Linked DNA regions of Oryzias latipes. The protein of the gene in region 2 interacts with the protein of the main gene of each other region in a pairwise test. Links are inferred from orthologs where the notes say so. Each region holds a gene or a part of one and is shown on either strand. Other genes may lie near its edges.

Region 1 (4,289 bases), on a different chromosome or scaffold from region 2:
TGTGCTCTCTGGTAAGTATGGAGATGCTCTCTCCCTATGGGCCTGGTTTGGGGTCTCAATAAAGTTTTGTTTGTAGCCAAGAAAGAGAACTCTGGCATCAGGAGCTCCCATCGACGCTCAAGCATGTTTAAGGTATGACTCTCCTCACTAGAGATGGGATAATGCCTCAAGAAGTGTGACACATTATCCAAACTGTGACACTAGTGATGGGCAGATGAAGCTTCATGAAGTGATGAAACTTTCATCCAGTTAGTTCGCTCAAGCGCTCTAGGAGGATATCTAGTGGATGCAAAAAATCTGTTGAATTTGAAATGTGACACTTTGAAAAGCCAATGAATGGACATGTCAGCAAAATAAAGTTTAACATGTATGTTGCCAAGTACTCTGTTAACCTATGACTTTGGTGTTCAATCATACAGAATAACAGACTAAAAGTGGATTCATTCAGACATTTCAGTGAGACGACAAGTTTTTGCTCCAAGATGATCTCTTTTGGTAGAACATATGAAGCTGCAATGAGCTCCAGGATCCAACAATCCCTCCTTTTCAACAGTGATGAGTGGCTGACAGTCTTTGATCATCTTCACCACGGCCTCCTCTGCTGGTTAGGAACTGAACACTAAAGGAAATATTTCCTTTAAAGATCTGTCATTTTACAAACAATATAGCAGAGTCACACAAAGCCTTCGGTGTGTAATAAACTATTCTTAATCAACATATTTGTGAGATACTCACATGAGGATCTGCATATTGTCTGACAAGTTAGGCTCTAACACGTGCCCACCAGGGGAGCTGGAGGGAAGCCCGGGCATCTTCTGCTGCCCCCACAGACCCGGTCCTGGATGAGCGGATGGAGATGTTAAGCTCTATAATGCCTCAGCGTTGATGAAGTGTTCTTTTTGATGCTCTGTGGAGTTGACACTTCTCTTAATGCCTACAATAAAATAAGGTTCATTTATCTGAAATCAATTCAACTTTCTTACAGAAAAGGATAGACGCATGTTTCATTCAAAAACTAAAAGCAAACAATGTCCAAAGGTGAAAAATGTTGACTTTTTTGCTATCAAAAGATCAAAATGGTTCCAGACTGGGGGAAATTTCTTATTGGAACGATCCATGTAGTCAGAACAGTTTCATCTCCATTCAACAAATCTACAACACAAGGCTAAACGCAGCAACACTCACAAACACAATTTGGCACAACTCTCCCAAACAAAAGCCGTCCTGACAGCCTCCCTAATCCCAGGACTCTTCCTGGGTTTAGGGAGGCGGCTTTTCCAAACTCCCCTCTTCCAGATTCTAGACTGTTATTGAAAATGCCTGAGAGAAAATGTCAGTTAAGATCTGTTCACAAGTTCTGTGAGCTGCAGAGACATAATGTTTAAATGAATGCAAAAAAAAAGATCATCTGAGCTCAAAAAGGATGCAGCTAAACGTACCTTTTAGCATGAAAAATGCAGAAGCTTGGAGTCCAGTGGGGTCTCTGCCAACCCGGGACCCTGCAGAGAGTGGAAGTCAAATGGATTTTTCCAGGAGGGACTTCTGCATCTGGCACCCCCGCCCCGTCTCAGTGGACCACTGACACGAGTATTTTGTCCAGTCAATGGGTGTACTCACAAAGGCATTGGCTCCTCCCACAGGTGAGCTCTTAGGTATGACTGACGTGGTTTTCTTCGCGGAAACTATTGAGTTTCATGATGGAGATGAAAAAAACCATGAACGTCTGGTTTTTACTGATAAATACCAGGTTAATGGGCGGAAGAGCAGAAAACATCTGCATGTCAACGCGGACCCCTTCAGGGCCGTGTGGCCGGGAGGAGGTTCCGCTGCGACCAGAGGGGGCGCTGTTTCCCCTCTGAGGGAGGAGGGGAGTCGCCGCCCACCCTCAAAGAAGAATCAGTCAGGAGGAAGAGGAGCAACAGCTGGAGGAAGAGGAGCAACAGCTGGAGGTGTCGTCTGCACCGTAGAGGTTGGCATCAGTTATCAATTAGTCTGATTGTGTCTGTTGTTCGTGTCAGCTGTCGTCATGTTTACGTCACTACGTTCGTCAGGAGATGTTTGTTAGCCTGCTAGCATGCTAGCATCTCAATTGCGGGTGCCCAAATATTTTCACGTCAGCTCTTCTTTACCTTATCTGTAAACAACAAACAACGTCTCACGACACCGAGGCTGGCGGGGGGGGGGGGGGGCTGAAGCGGACAGCGGGGGTTGAGTCTGCAGACGGTCTGACTGATGAAGATGATGAAGAAGAGGCAGCAGACCGTCCTTTCCGGCGCAGGTGCTCAGCGGAAGTCCTGACCATGATGGAGCTTCCTGTTAAATCCTGTCAGTATTGTTTCCTTGGACTCCGTGAAGACTTCCTCCGTCTGCTGTGGCTCTGAAGGCTTGTGGAGAGTCTCATCCTTCCTGTGGAAAAGCCCACGTAAAGCTGCGACTCCGCCAAATCTTCAGGACCTCTTCCTTTTGGAGCTAAGACTGTCAGTCTGTGGTCTGAGGAAACTGACCGCTCCACGAGCCGCTGCCTCTTCCTCCAACACCCCAGACTTAGACTGAGCTCACTGTAGAGATGAGTTGCAGTAACTGCAGCAGGTGGATTAAGGGGAAAAAGGTCAAACATGCAACACAGCTGAGGCCCAGGTACAGACAGCGATGTCTTTCAGGTGCCTCTAACCTCCAAAACAGAACCATCTCCACTTCACCACTTTGGTTCGGCCTCTTCCATGACGTTTGGGATCCATCCTTTCAAACGGATTCATCCTCGAAGCGCCGTTACGTTCCGTGACATTCCGAAAGCCGGAATGAAACTGCCTGCAGCAGTGTGTCTTTTTCAAAGACTCGTAACTTTGGCAGCAGGAAATTCAACCAGCAACCCTTTGGTTGGGTTTGGTTCTTCCGACTAAGTTTTCCATGGTTGTTTTTAGGCTGCATGTGTGATCTGAGTTTGAGGTGAAAATCCACAAGCATCACTGCAGAAGGCTCATGTCACGCCTTCCCAGCAGCGCTCTCACTGCAGTGTTTCCAGGCAGCAGGTGTATATTTCCACTGTATGTTCTTTTAGAAGAACCTCCACCAATTGTTGTGGACCCCCCTGCTTACAGCCCCTTATTTTGAAAACCCACCAACCTCAAAGAATGACAGAGTGGTGACCAATGTCTCTGAAGCGGATTCTGTCTCTGCAAACAGATGATGAGGAGCAAGGCGGATGAGGAAGAGTACTGGCACAGTTCCAAGTTCAAGGCTTTCACTTTCGAGGACGAAGATGAAGAGCTCAGCAGGGTAAGATGCTTTTAAGTGAAGTCACTCAGACTCCTTTGTCTGTTTTCTGATGTGTCCAGGTCTAGACTCCTTCAGAGTTCCTCTGGGTCCCATAGGGTTCTTTGGGTTTGTGAGGTCTCCTTAGTCTCTTAAGGTTCTTTGGGGATCTCAGTGTCACTCTGCATCCTTCGCCCTTTTTGTTTCTTTAGATCTTTCAGATTTCTTCAGAGATGTGAAATGATCCTTTTATGCTCTTCAAGTTCCTTTGGGGTTCTCTGGGTTCATTGGAGAGCCATAGATTTGTTTTGACATCTTTGGGTTTTTCAGGTTCTTCAGTTGATGTTTATTTTTCTTAGAAGTCCAAACCAAGACAGCCTTAGGTTTCTCTGTTCGGTTTAACAATCTCTACAAAAATAATCCATCACTAAGTGAAGGTGCTCTGATGAGGGTTGTGGGTTTCTGTTGTGTTACTGAAGTGGGGGTGAATAAAGTTGGTTGAATCAGGACTGTGCTGTGATAGCTGAAGGAGTCAAAGCAGGCGGTTAACAGCATTCGGCAGCTGGTGGAGGAAGATGATGATGATGACACGGAGAAGGTCAGCTGGAGTGGAGAGCCAGTTGGCAGTAAGTCACCTTAAGGTGGGGGGGGGTCCTGCTTTGTGACTGGCTGCAGGGATATGACCTAGGGATTGGTTTTTCAGGTATCTCCTGGTCCATCAAAGAGATGGCAGGGTCCAATCAGAAGATAGACAGAGAACCCGCCTTCCCCAGAATCCCAACAGAACCATCAACCCTTAACAAAAGTCACTCCGGACTCTCTCTGAGCTCCCTGTTCAGAGGTATGTGGTGGGAACGGGTCATGTGACCCAGACAGACAAACATCTGACTTACATCTGTCTGCCTGCAGGAAAAGCAAAATCAGAAAACTTCCAGAGCTTCTCCGACGGTCAGTGATGGAAACATGCATCATTTTAAGACTTAAGGCCACTGTCAGGTCTGTTGAGGGATCCCCAAATCAGAGAAAGAGGATTGTCT
Region 2 (3,809 bases):
ATCTGACGTTGGTCTGAAGGACTAATCAGGACTGGTGTACCTGCCGTTTTGTCGTTGACCAGCTTTCCCACTTTGCTTTCCATGACGGTGAGCGTCTCCGCCCCCTGCTGCTCCACCAGCAGCCCCAGCTGCCTCAGGTTGGAGAAGGTGAGCAGGTGGTCAAAGCCATAACTCTGAAGACAGCCGACATTGCAGAAGTTGATGTCCACCTCATTGGACTCATAAAGCTGCTTTAAGAACGTACCTGGAGGTACTGCGTCTTCAAAGAGCGATAGTCTTTGGGCAGCAGTCCTGTGATGAAGCAGAATCATGAAAAAACAAGAACAACCCATCCCTTTTTGAGGAGTGAGTGTTTACCGTTCTCTGTGATGGACAGAAGACACAGCATCCGCAGGCTTTCCATCATGGAGATCTGCAGGAAACGGAGGAACGGGGTCGGACTTTGTGGAGTTTCATCTCCTAACCGTGTCGACGAGGACTCACCTGTCTGTTGATGTGCTCCTCTATGAAGGAAATGCTTTCACGGATTTCAAAGCCTTCAAGTAGACCTGAAGAAACAGACGTTAAAAACCAATAGGAAGAAGAAAAAGCCTTAAAGCTTGTTTCAATCAGCCTCTCTGGAGAAGCTCAGCGGCAAAAGCATCAGTGGCTCACAGTGTTCTCTCTGCAGCAGCTCTTGGAAGTCCTGCTTTGTCTTCTTCTTCATGATGGACTCACTAGCACCAATGTCTGCAGAACAAACGCAGGTCAGCACGCATTTGCTGGTGTCACCCCGTGGAGCCTGTCACTCAAACCTACGCAGGCTGAGCAGCCGGTGCTCCTGCTTCAGTCCTTTCAGCTCCTCAGACACAAACGTTTTCATCTGCTTGATGTCCATCCCCTGACGCTTCTGCAGGGTCACCACAGCGTCAGAGCGGCTCACTGACTACCACGGGTTTCACAACACTCACGCACGTCGTATGCAGTCTGCAGGTTCCTGGCCTTCTGGCTGAGGAAACCAAAGACGTTGGAGAAATGTTCGTTTCGGATTTCATTGAAGACCTGCAGAAAGAGACAGGATCAGTCCAGAGTGTGCACAGAGAAGGAGCTGCAGCTCCCATCCCAGCCCACCTTATCCTGGGAGTTCAGCATGACCTTCACACTTCTGTCAGAGGAGGTGACGTCTGGACCAAACTCCACGCAGCCTGCAGACAAACCACAAAGATGAAAACCAGTGAGGAGAGAAGACGAGGCCAAAAGAAGCACAGAGCAACCAGAGAAGAGTCAGGGAAAAACTGAAGAAGAAACAGAAAGGACCAAAGGAAACCAAAAAGGAGAGGAAAGACAAACAACAAAAAAGCAGAAAAGTAGAGAAGAAGCAGCAGAACCAGCATCCGCCTCTTTCAAGTTTCAAAGGTAACCTTGAGGTGCATGGAGCAGGTTTGAGCACAAACACATCAGAGTCAAAGCCAAGTCAACTGTCCAACGACCAACACCAACCACACTTGATCCGAAAAATGTCGTCCAGCAGCCCCTCGTACACCACCTGTGAGCACAGAGGAGTGACGAAGTCTACGTCTGAGGAGACAGAGGAGAAGCCGATAAGGCAGAGCCGCGCATCAGGACCCCCCCTCCAGGATCAACCGTCCCACCTCGGTCAATGAGAAAGACACTCCCAATCTCAGCAGGACGAGCTCCTTGTTCTCCCTGCTCCACCTGCTCCCTCCACCACTCGTACGTCATCTGCAGTCAAGACGGAAACACTTTTCAGGCCAGCGGAAAAAAGGCCAGGAGAACCTGGAGGGGGCGGAGAAGACTCGCTGCACCTGGGAACAGGAGCCAATCCCGTACAGCTTGGAGAACGGGCCGTAAACCGAGTGGAGGAGGTGCAGAGCGCCCCCTACTGTTCTCAGCCACCGCTGATCTCCTGCCTGGAAGAGAGACAGCGTAAATCCTGATGTGAAAGCCCAGCTCTGACTTCCTGGTGGAAAACAGCAGGGGTTCAACTTGTATTCTGAAAAGAAGACTTGAGCTTGGCAGCTTTACAACTACTGAACTCAAGACAAAAATGAGGGAAAAGGTTAAAAAAAATCCTTTGTAGACTGTTGACATATTTATTGGGAGCATAACAACTGATAACAACTACATCACTAAACGTTAATGTGAAACACATTGACTGTACAGAAAACGTGGACTGAATGAGTGTAACACGACTGATTCAGACCAATCTCTGCTTACTGACATCATCTGGCTTCAACATAGCAGCATCCACATCAAGAAAAACGCACTTTACTTCATTGGAACTGGAAACAAGCCATTGTCTAGGGGTGATGACCCACTGACCCGGTCCAGTTCTCTAAACAGTCAATGGATGTGAGAACCAGAACAGGGAGAAGGCATTCCTGCCACCACAAACACATCAAACCTCTGATTCTGTTTACAGTTCGGATCCCTGAACAGTATGGGCCAATCAAAAGACAGAATGATAGTTTAGGCTTTGTCATCTCAGCCATACCTACAAAAACAAATCCTGTCTCCAAATAGAGAGTTCTGTTACGAAAAGCTTTATTGTGAGGTGTTTAATTGAAATGGAAAGGTCTAGATCAGTGTTTTTCAACCTTTTTTGAGCCACGGGACACTTTAACCTTGACAAAAATCCTGCGGCACACCAGCATCCAAAAAAAAAAAAAGGAGAAAGTCATAGTCTGTATTGATCTACAGTCCCTCCATGATCTCATACATTTTTGTGATAATTGTGGCAGAAAAAGCTGGAAGCTGCAGATGTTTTTTCTAAAAGATGGAATAAAAGTTAAGTTAGAAGATTTAAAAACTGTTTAATGTGTGTTCGTTGTGGTTTCAAGGCGTTTAACAAGGACGACTCATTGTACGCTGAGACGCTGTCACTTTGACCCAATGCATCATGGGAGATGTAGTGATGGCAGACAGACTCTCTTCTCTGAGCTTCATGGTTTCGCTCACTTGTTCCACGGTCTGACACCGGATTCTGTGGAAAGCTACACCGCTAAAGACGAGCTTTAGCTGGTATTTCTGTTGGAACTGAGAGACTTTATGAGCAAAATCAGAACAAGGAAGTGAAGACTTTAACCACTTCTGATTGGTCAGACTGATGACATGTGATTGAGCCTCCAAGAATGATTGGTGGAGACAGTTAAAGGGGCGGGACTTTTCCTAAAACAGCTGAAGCTACGGCTAAATTGTGGTACCGTCATTCTTATCAAAATGTCTTTAATAGAATCAAATAAACACAAAGAAAAAAGTATTTTATATTCCTAACTACTCAGTGTTTTATCAGGGCCTGTTTGGATGAACACAGAGCTGATATCCTGGAGATGGAAATGTTTTTAGGTCAGTGAATGGGTCATTTCCTACACCTGACCATCTCCCACCGCACACTAGTGTGCTGCGGCACACTGGTCGAAAAACACTGATCTAGAAGACCTGAAAACAACTCTGACAATTCTAGGAGCAGCTCAGACAAAGATGTACGTCCTGCATAGTCCACACAGGCACTGGAACTTTATTTACCAGAAAATTGTCGTGAAAGAACTCAGGCAGCTCCATACTTAAGATGTCATCATCAAGGGGGAGGAGGTAGAAGGCCCACTCGTCTGTGGTCACGTCTGTCCGGACACGGAGACTGTGTTAGCACCTGGAACCGGCATTCCTGCCTCCAGGCAGACATGCAGAGAAGCTTACCGCCAAAGACGCCCTCCTCCTCCAGCACCGCCTCACATGCAAAGAACTGTGGGAGAGGGAGAACATCAGGACTCAGACCCAGCACCGCGGGGCGTATGCAGCAGACCTACCCT

The links.
Region 1: the proteins of vps33b (region 2) and vipas39 interact in binary tests that used the Homo sapiens proteins (3 or more experiments, as listed by UniProt). The link is inferred for Oryzias latipes from reciprocal best matches to the Homo sapiens genes VPS33B and VIPAS39.

What each region holds. Positions count from the first base shown.
Region 1 is NC_019882.2:23,108,947-23,113,235, reverse strand, and holds the start of vipas39 (spermatogenesis-defective protein 39 homolog), read left to right. Parts: upstream 1-1,449; 5' UTR 1,450-1,454; coding exon 1,455-1,640; exon of another isoform or gene 1,641-1,744; intron 1,745-1,747; coding exon 1,748-1,969; intron 1,970-3,183; coding exon 3,184-3,276; intron 3,277-3,775; coding exon 3,776-3,878; intron 3,879-3,955; coding exon 3,956-4,093; intron 4,094-4,161; coding exon 4,162-4,200; intron 4,201-4,289. Other genes in the region: activator of 90 kDa heat shock protein ATPase homolog 1, read right to left, coding at 736-838, 1,440-1,449.
Region 2 is NC_019861.2:284,969-288,777, forward strand, and holds part of vps33b (vacuolar protein sorting-associated protein 33B), read right to left. Parts: intron 3,743-3,809; coding exon 3,697-3,742; intron 3,621-3,696; coding exon 3,526-3,620; intron 1,911-3,525; coding exon 1,806-1,910; intron 1,723-1,805; coding exon 1,632-1,722; intron 1,558-1,631; coding exon 1,480-1,557; intron 1,185-1,479; coding exon 1,111-1,184; intron 1,042-1,110; coding exon 955-1,041; intron 890-954; coding exon 799-889; intron 730-798; coding exon 655-729; intron 549-654; coding exon 484-548; intron 413-483; coding exon 358-412; intron 292-357; coding exon 245-291; intron 174-244; coding exon 41-173; intron 1-40. UniProt on the Homo sapiens protein: May play a role in vesicle-mediated protein trafficking to lysosomal compartments and in membrane docking/fusion reactions of late endosomes/lysosomes.